Macaca fascicularis: one gene and its partner. Each later gene encodes a partner of the first gene's protein in a complex. Links are inferred from orthologs where the notes say so. Each region holds a gene or a part of one and is shown on either strand. Other genes may lie near its edges.

Region 1 (3,569 bases):
GCCTCCCAAAGTGCTGGGATTACAGGCGTGAGCCACCACACCCGGCCAACCCTGGTTTTCTTATTGCAATATATGCTCTTCATGCTATACTGATAGCAAAATTCAGTTGGAAGCAGACAGTAGATCAGGGCCTTTCCAAAAGTGATGAGAACAAAACACAGTATCTAGGTCTCAGGTCATCACTTGAAAAATGTCATCACTTCAAACTAGAAAAGAAAAATCCTTAATACCAAAGTTAGTTAACAAAGTGCTTCTTAACATTTGATATAAAGATTCTTTCATTCTTTACTATAGCTTATTATCTTGACTCAAGTATCAGAAAAGTTTATAGGTAGCTCCAAATTGCGCTAATAAAGTAATTTTAGGTTTAATAAACAAGTATACAATGCTATTCAAAAAACAATATTTTCAGCACTAGAATATATAACTAGTTCATAGAAAATGGCAGTGGACTAGAATAAAGTTGGAAGAGAAATGTATAAAATGAGGTTATATAATCCCCAAGAGAAATGGCCCTAAAAGTCTAACAAAAAAACCGTAATACTAGATTATCATCTGCAATTCCTACCTCTTTACCTGACACAACACAGCAAATGCTTGATAATTTTTTCACCTAAGCCTCAAAATTTCAAATCTAATATTGATCTGAATGAGAAGACCTAAGAAACAAGACATACAAATCAACTGCACTGTGGACTGAATTTGAATCCCAATTCAAATAACTTAAAAAAAGAGAGACAATTGGAATTCAAGTATTATTTAGATATTCAAACATTATTAGGGAATTACTGTTGATGTTTCTAGTGTGATAGTGACACTGTTTCTTTTTATACATCTGCAGTATCCCAAGGACAATCACGACCTTTCATATTAAGTCATTTAAAAGCAGCAGCTAGGCAAAATAGACTTCCACTTAGATTCTGCAGACACCTGAGATTTTATAACTCAAGTTATTAATTCCCTACCATTATCTTTACAAATACAGAGGCAACTTGATGGGCAAGAAAATCATTCTTAAAGGAACTAAAACATGTAGAGCCTCAGTACACTTTTGATACTAACATTCAAATTTTAGTAACACAGGTAACATCAATGTGTATATTTTTTAGTTCTTAGTCTAATATTTCAGTTTCTGTAGTTTTCCTTCATATGATTTTAACAGTAGCTACTTATGAGAGCCTATGAATTGTGTTGAGAAAAAATTTTTAAAAGATTTAATAAAAATTCCTCAGAGTAAAACATAACCTCTTCAACCACATTCATCACTAATGATGCTGTTATATACTTACTGTCAAGTTGTCTCTCAGTAATTGCATTATTAGCGTGCTGTCTTTGTATGACTCTTCACTTAATGTATCAAGTTCAGCAATGGCTTCATCAAAAGCCTATGATTTAAAAATAGTACATTAGATTTCAGTGCTCAAGTAATAAAGACTGCTAAATTTCTATGTAACAGGTAAAATACATACTGTCTTTGCAAGAGAGCAGGCTTTCTCTGGGGAGTTCAGAATCTCATAATAGAACACAGAGAAGTTAAGGGCCAGACCCAGTCTGATAGGATGTGTTGGTTGCATTTCCTTTTTGCTGATTTCAAAAGCTTCTTGGTATGCTTGTTGTGACTGATCCACAATCCCTGGATAAAGACACACCAAAACGTACTGAGATAAAGTGTGCATTGTATCTTCACCCCTCAAACCAAACCTTTAATATCTCAGGTATCCTTTGAAATACTAATCTGTAACAGCTTAATACTGGTTAATTGAACAAGGCCCTTTAATTTTTTTTTAAAAGGAGTTTTCTCCTGGTATACACTAGTCATTGGTCAATGTCAAGATAAAACAACTTTATAATCTCCATTACTGTTATATTTTTAAAAAATTAACTAGTTTGCACTACTCCTCAGTTACACTGTAACCACTATTTCTTTTTTCTTGAGACAGGGTCTGGGTCTGTCACCCAGGGTGGAGTGCAGTGGCACAATCAGGGCTCACTGCAGCCTTGATCTCCCAGACCCAAGTGATCCTCCCACTTCGGCCTCTAGATTAGCTGGGACCAAAGGCTTGCACTTGCACCACCATGCCCAGCTAATTTTCAAAACATTTTTTGTAGAGAGAGATGTTGCTCAGGCTGGTCACTTTTCTTAAAATCTTGAAAAAACATCCCTGTGCACAAAATTGGCTTTTCAGAAAGCATATATATTAGAATACCAGTATTAGGCAGTAGATATATATTCTCAGAACACCAAAAAAGCACTGCTACTCCTTATTCAGCACTCTAAGCAATTAAAAGCAAGGAATTATTTACACTTCAGAGACTCTTCCTCACTAAAGTTCAACCAACAGGTTTAAAAACAGCATACCTTTCTTGTCATCACCAGCGGCAACCTCAGCCAAGTAACGATAGTAATCTCCTTTCATTTTCAAATAGAAGACTTTGCTCTCTGCTTGTGAAGCATTGGGGATCAAGAACTTTTCCAAAAGAGACTTAAGAAGAAAAGAAACAGACATAGTGAGAATAAAACATTTACAAAACTGAAAGAACTTGCATTTTTTAAAGGACAAACTATAGCCTTAAGTTATACAACTTTAACACCCAGTCACTGTCAATACAATTGTGAATGCAGCTGGCAGATGAATTTGTGGTTTAAAGCAGAATGCTTTGGGCAGCAATACTTGAAGTTTGAAGTTAGTGTTCAGTTTATTATTTGAGGACAATACAATTGAGTATCAGTCCCTGACAATGTCATCTATTTACATACTGATTTCAATGAATTTCGTGAAGCATGACCGTTCATATTTAGGAACATTTTCTAATGAGCTGGCAAGCTTTCCATCTGAAGTTTCATGTGTTCATGACATGAAAATAGAACATACGGGATGAACCTTTTGGGACTCTGAAGAAATGACTAAAGCAGAAACCAATAATGTAAGACACTTAAGGAGTCCATGCCAGAGAGAGAGGAACAAAATAAACTTCATTTATAAGAACACAATTCAAGCAAACCTCACAACAGATTAAAAAAACTGTTCAAAACGAAAGTTTCATTTTTCCTAAATTAAGACAGTGGTATGGGCCAGGCACGGTGGCTCATGCCTGTAATCCCAGCACTTTGGGAGCCCAAGGCAGGCAGATCACATGGTCAGGAGATCGAGACCATCCTGGCTAATGCGGTGAAACCCCGTCTCTACTAAAAAATACAAAAAATTGGCCAGGCGCGGTGGCAGGAGCCTGTAGTCCCAGCTACTCGGGAGACTGAGGCAGGAGAATGGCATGAACCTGGGAGGCGGAGCTTGCAATGAGCCGAGATCACACCACTGCACTCCAGCCTAGGCGACAGAGTGAGACTCCATCTCAAAAAATAAATAAATAAAAATTTAAAAAAATTTAAAAAGACAGTGGTAGGAGACTTACAGATCTTAAAAGAGCAGACCTTTAATAATCTCATTGACGTCATTTTCGGCTAGTAAGATACATGATTACAGATCATCCCAGACAACAGATAAAATTAAATCATCATCCTATAAAATTCTGTCTAAAACTATTACTACAGTCTAAGTCATTTGATCAGG
Region 2 (3,569 bases), on another chromosome or scaffold:
TATTTAAATACATTTGATATGTAATATGAAATAATAAAATATCAATAGTGATTCTAATTGGTTAATTTCAATCCAAATAAAAGCCTTCTACTTTTGAGTTTTTGAATCTCTTAACATTTATTATTAAAATCTATTAAAAACTCTTCTTATATTTGTATTTAAATATATTTTATATGTAATACGAAATAGTAAAATATCAATAGTGATTCTAATTGTTGATTTTTCAGAAGCTAAGAATTATATGAATCTATACTATTATATACTGTAAAATCACAAATATATGTAATATATAAATATATACATACTTATACATAGTTATATATGTGTGTATATATGCACACATACATGTATACATATATATGTATGTGTATATATACATATTTAAGTGTGTGCATATATATGTATACATCCTTCGAAACTATCTTAATTTAACTTTAAATCACAGTATACTTTACAATAGAACAGTCTTACCTCAGCCAGAAAAATTACCAAGCACCAAATTAGCACAAAAATTAAGCTCTTGTGGACAGTAATATATCGAAGGTATGTGTTCCATGTAGTCACTGCTGGTATGCTCTCCATATCATCAAAAAAGCACTCCTGAATAAGAGAATTATGGCTATTACAATAAGACAATACAGTTTCATGCCACCATGGTGGTTTTATTTTTAATATATGAAAATAAAGGAATAGTATTACTTGAATCTAAGTGTATTTTAACAAATATAAATCAGTATAAATGCCATGTATGATGTCATTTTATAGTCAGAATAATGTCTACTGGAGCAACACAGCTTTATTAAAACTGAGAAACACCGTAATTTTTCAAAATTCTAAAAATGTATCACTGATTATGTAACTGTATTATTATTGGACAGTTTTACCATTAAAGGCTTAACAGTGGCATACCTTTTATCAAATGAATGATACCACCTAAATGAAGTTTCCCAGAACTCTCTTTGATTTAACCTGTTTCTTCAGGGGTCCATGGACAAGTACAGGTCAGTATACTGCACTGTATATACTATAAAGGTCTTCCAGTAGACTGAAAGCCCATTTGTGTTTGAACATTCCTTAGTAACTTAGGACTATCTCTCTTTGCAACTATGATTTAAATTACATAATTCTCATCCTAGGCATATTCCTATTCCTCTAGAAATCTTTGTCTTTTGGCATATCGATACATTTCAAAATTTTGAAAAAGAGAGATTCCAGATAGTCCAAAGGAAAAAGATAGTTTTGTTTCTCACAAGATCAACAAAACTCATAGGAAAGCACTATGAATCACAAAGAAGAGGTCCTATGGTATTGGGATATAGTGCACTGGTTAGGAGTATGCATTTTTTGAGTCAGACAGATCTGAATTTGAACCCAAACTCCACCATTAACAGCCTAGGAGCCGCCTGAATTCAAGCGTGTTGCTGAACTTCTCTGAACTTTAATTTCCTTATCTGCAAATGTGAAAAATTTTAAGTACCTTCCAGGGTAGTTGTGGGGACTAAATGTATGCCACCTAGAACTAGATGCAATCCATAAATGGAAACTATTATTAGTCAAGGCTATCATTCTTTACAACTAAATTTTTAGGCTCAGGATTGAGAAATTCATTTAGATTGATATTAAATTATATAAATGGGTTGGGCACAGTGGCTCAGGCTGGGCGCGGTGGCTCATGCCTGTAATCCCAGCACTTTGGGAGGCCAAGGGGGGCAGATCACAAGGTCAGGAGTTCGAGACCAGCCTGGCCAACATGATGAAACCCCTTCTCTACTAAAAATACAAAAATTAGCTGGGTGTGGTGGTGCATGCCTGTAATCCCAGCTACTCAGGAGGCTGAGGCAGGAGAATTGCTTGAACCCAGTAAGCAGAGGTTGCAGTGAGCCGAGGTCACGCCATTGTACTCCAGCCTGGGTAACAGAGTGAGACTCCATCTCAAACAAACAAACAAACAAAACACTATATAAATGAATTATCGTTTAGGAAACCTTCGTAAAGTATGGAAATTCTAAAATTACGCACTTTAGGGATCTATTTTATTCCCTCATTTTACAAAGAAGGAAACTTCAGCCTAGAGATGTTAATGGCTTGTGTCTTGTCAAAGGTCACATTATTCTCAAATGATCTATACTATTAAATATATCAATTAATTACAACCCTGCCCATGGCTCATTTCATCCAAGGCATTAAGTTTTCTACTAAAATAACAAAAACTCTCCTTTTTACATTATTTCTTGTTTTAAAAATAAAATACTTTTATTCTTAAGACCTAATATAACAAACTTTCTGTCTGAAGATTGGCACTAGTACATGTTGAGCTTCATATACCTTCTCTAAAAGAAATCTCTTTAGCAACCCAATGTATAAAGCAAACTCACAAGATAAAAAAAGCCCACAATAGCTAAATTCAGGCAAGACTGATACACAAACTAGAATGTGAGTCCCATCAAGAGTCTAAATGTTTATACACCTTATATAAGCTACTTCCATACAGATTATTTTGCGAGCTATAAATAATGAAAGCTACTATTTATTTATACAGTTACTTATACTGCACCTCTTCCCATAGAGGGTTCAGATGGTAATAAAGTAGATGCTTTCTAACTTATAGTCACAATTATCACTGGTTTAGTAAAGGACCGAAAACTAAATCCTTTCCCATTTTATGGGAAGAGATATGTCCATCGCAAAAAGAAATCATTTGTTATTTTACATTTTAAAGTTGCTTACATAATTAATGAACTTCATACTGTCTGAGTTTTAAGATAAACCTTATCCTAATCCCATGATTTGAGTAAATTTTGTTACATGCTACATATTGCATTCTACTCAATTGCACCCTGTATGGTGAAATACCCACAAGCAATTTATACCTACCTTTAAGTCTTCTTCATTAATTTCTTCACTTATTTCCAAGCCAGTTTCTTGAGATAACCTTCTTGAATATATATCCAGTTCAGTCAAGTTTGCCTGAGGGGCCAGTGACACTTTTCGTGTGGATGCTGCTGTCTTTCTGTGAATGCTCTGACCTTGGTTAACTGAGTGTGTCATCAGGTTCAGAACAGACTGCCTCCTCCGTGCCTGAAGCGTGGGGCCAGTGCTGATCACGCTGATGCGAGGGAGTATCACCTCTCCCTGCTCAGAATCTGGAACTAAGGACAGCCTTCTCTCTAAAGGCTCATCAGAATCCTCTTCGATGCCATTCATTTGTAAGGGAGTCTTTTGGACAATGGAAAATTTTCGTATAGAGTTGATTGGATTGAGAATAGAATTCTTCCTTTTTTCCCCAAACTCTCCAGTCTGTTTAAAAGATTGTTTTTTTGTTTCGGTCCAGGAGACAGGAGCATCTCCTTCTAATGAGAAACGGCGTAAGGTCTCAGTTAGGATTGAATTTCTTCTTTCTGCACTAAATTGGTCGAAAGAATCATATCCCATGAGTTTTGAGCTAAAGTCTGGCCGTAGATTTTGGAGTTCTGAAAATGTTCCATAAAAATAGCTGCTACCTTCATGTAAAATTAATATTTTGTCAGCTTTCTTTAAATGTTCCATTTTAGAAGTGACCAGAATCCTAG

Evidence for each region. The genes of interacting proteins can lie anywhere in the genome.
Region 2: the proteins of YWHAZ (region 1) and CFTR are in contact, whole or in part, in a crystal structure (PDB 5D2D), measured with the Homo sapiens proteins. The link is inferred for Macaca fascicularis from reciprocal best matches to the Homo sapiens genes YWHAZ and CFTR. Residues at the interface, in NP_001129171.1 of Homo sapiens: Asn38, Arg41, Asn42, Ser45, Val46, Lys49, Arg56, Arg60, Glu113, Phe117, Lys120, Arg127, Tyr128, Glu131, His164, Pro165, Ile166, Gly169, Leu172, Asn173, Val176, Glu180, Ile217, Leu220, Asp223, Asn224, Thr226, Leu227, Trp228; in NP_000483.3 of Homo sapiens: Arg764, Arg765, Arg766, Gln767, Ser768, Val769, Leu770, Asn771, Leu772, Met773, Thr774.

The regions. Positions count from the first base shown.
Region 1 is NC_088382.1:110,550,137-110,553,705, forward strand, and holds part of YWHAZ (14-3-3 protein zeta/delta), read right to left. Parts: intron 2,484-3,569; coding exon 2,360-2,483; intron 1,634-2,359; coding exon 1,470-1,633; intron 1,386-1,469; coding exon 1,290-1,385; intron 1-1,289.
Region 2 is NC_088377.1:159,037,815-159,041,383, reverse strand, and holds part of CFTR (cystic fibrosis transmembrane conductance regulator), read right to left. Parts: coding exon 2,875-3,569; intron 601-2,874; coding exon 472-600; intron 1-471. UniProt on the Homo sapiens protein: Epithelial ion channel that plays an important role in the regulation of epithelial ion and water transport and fluid homeostasis. Mediates the transport of chloride ions across the cell membrane.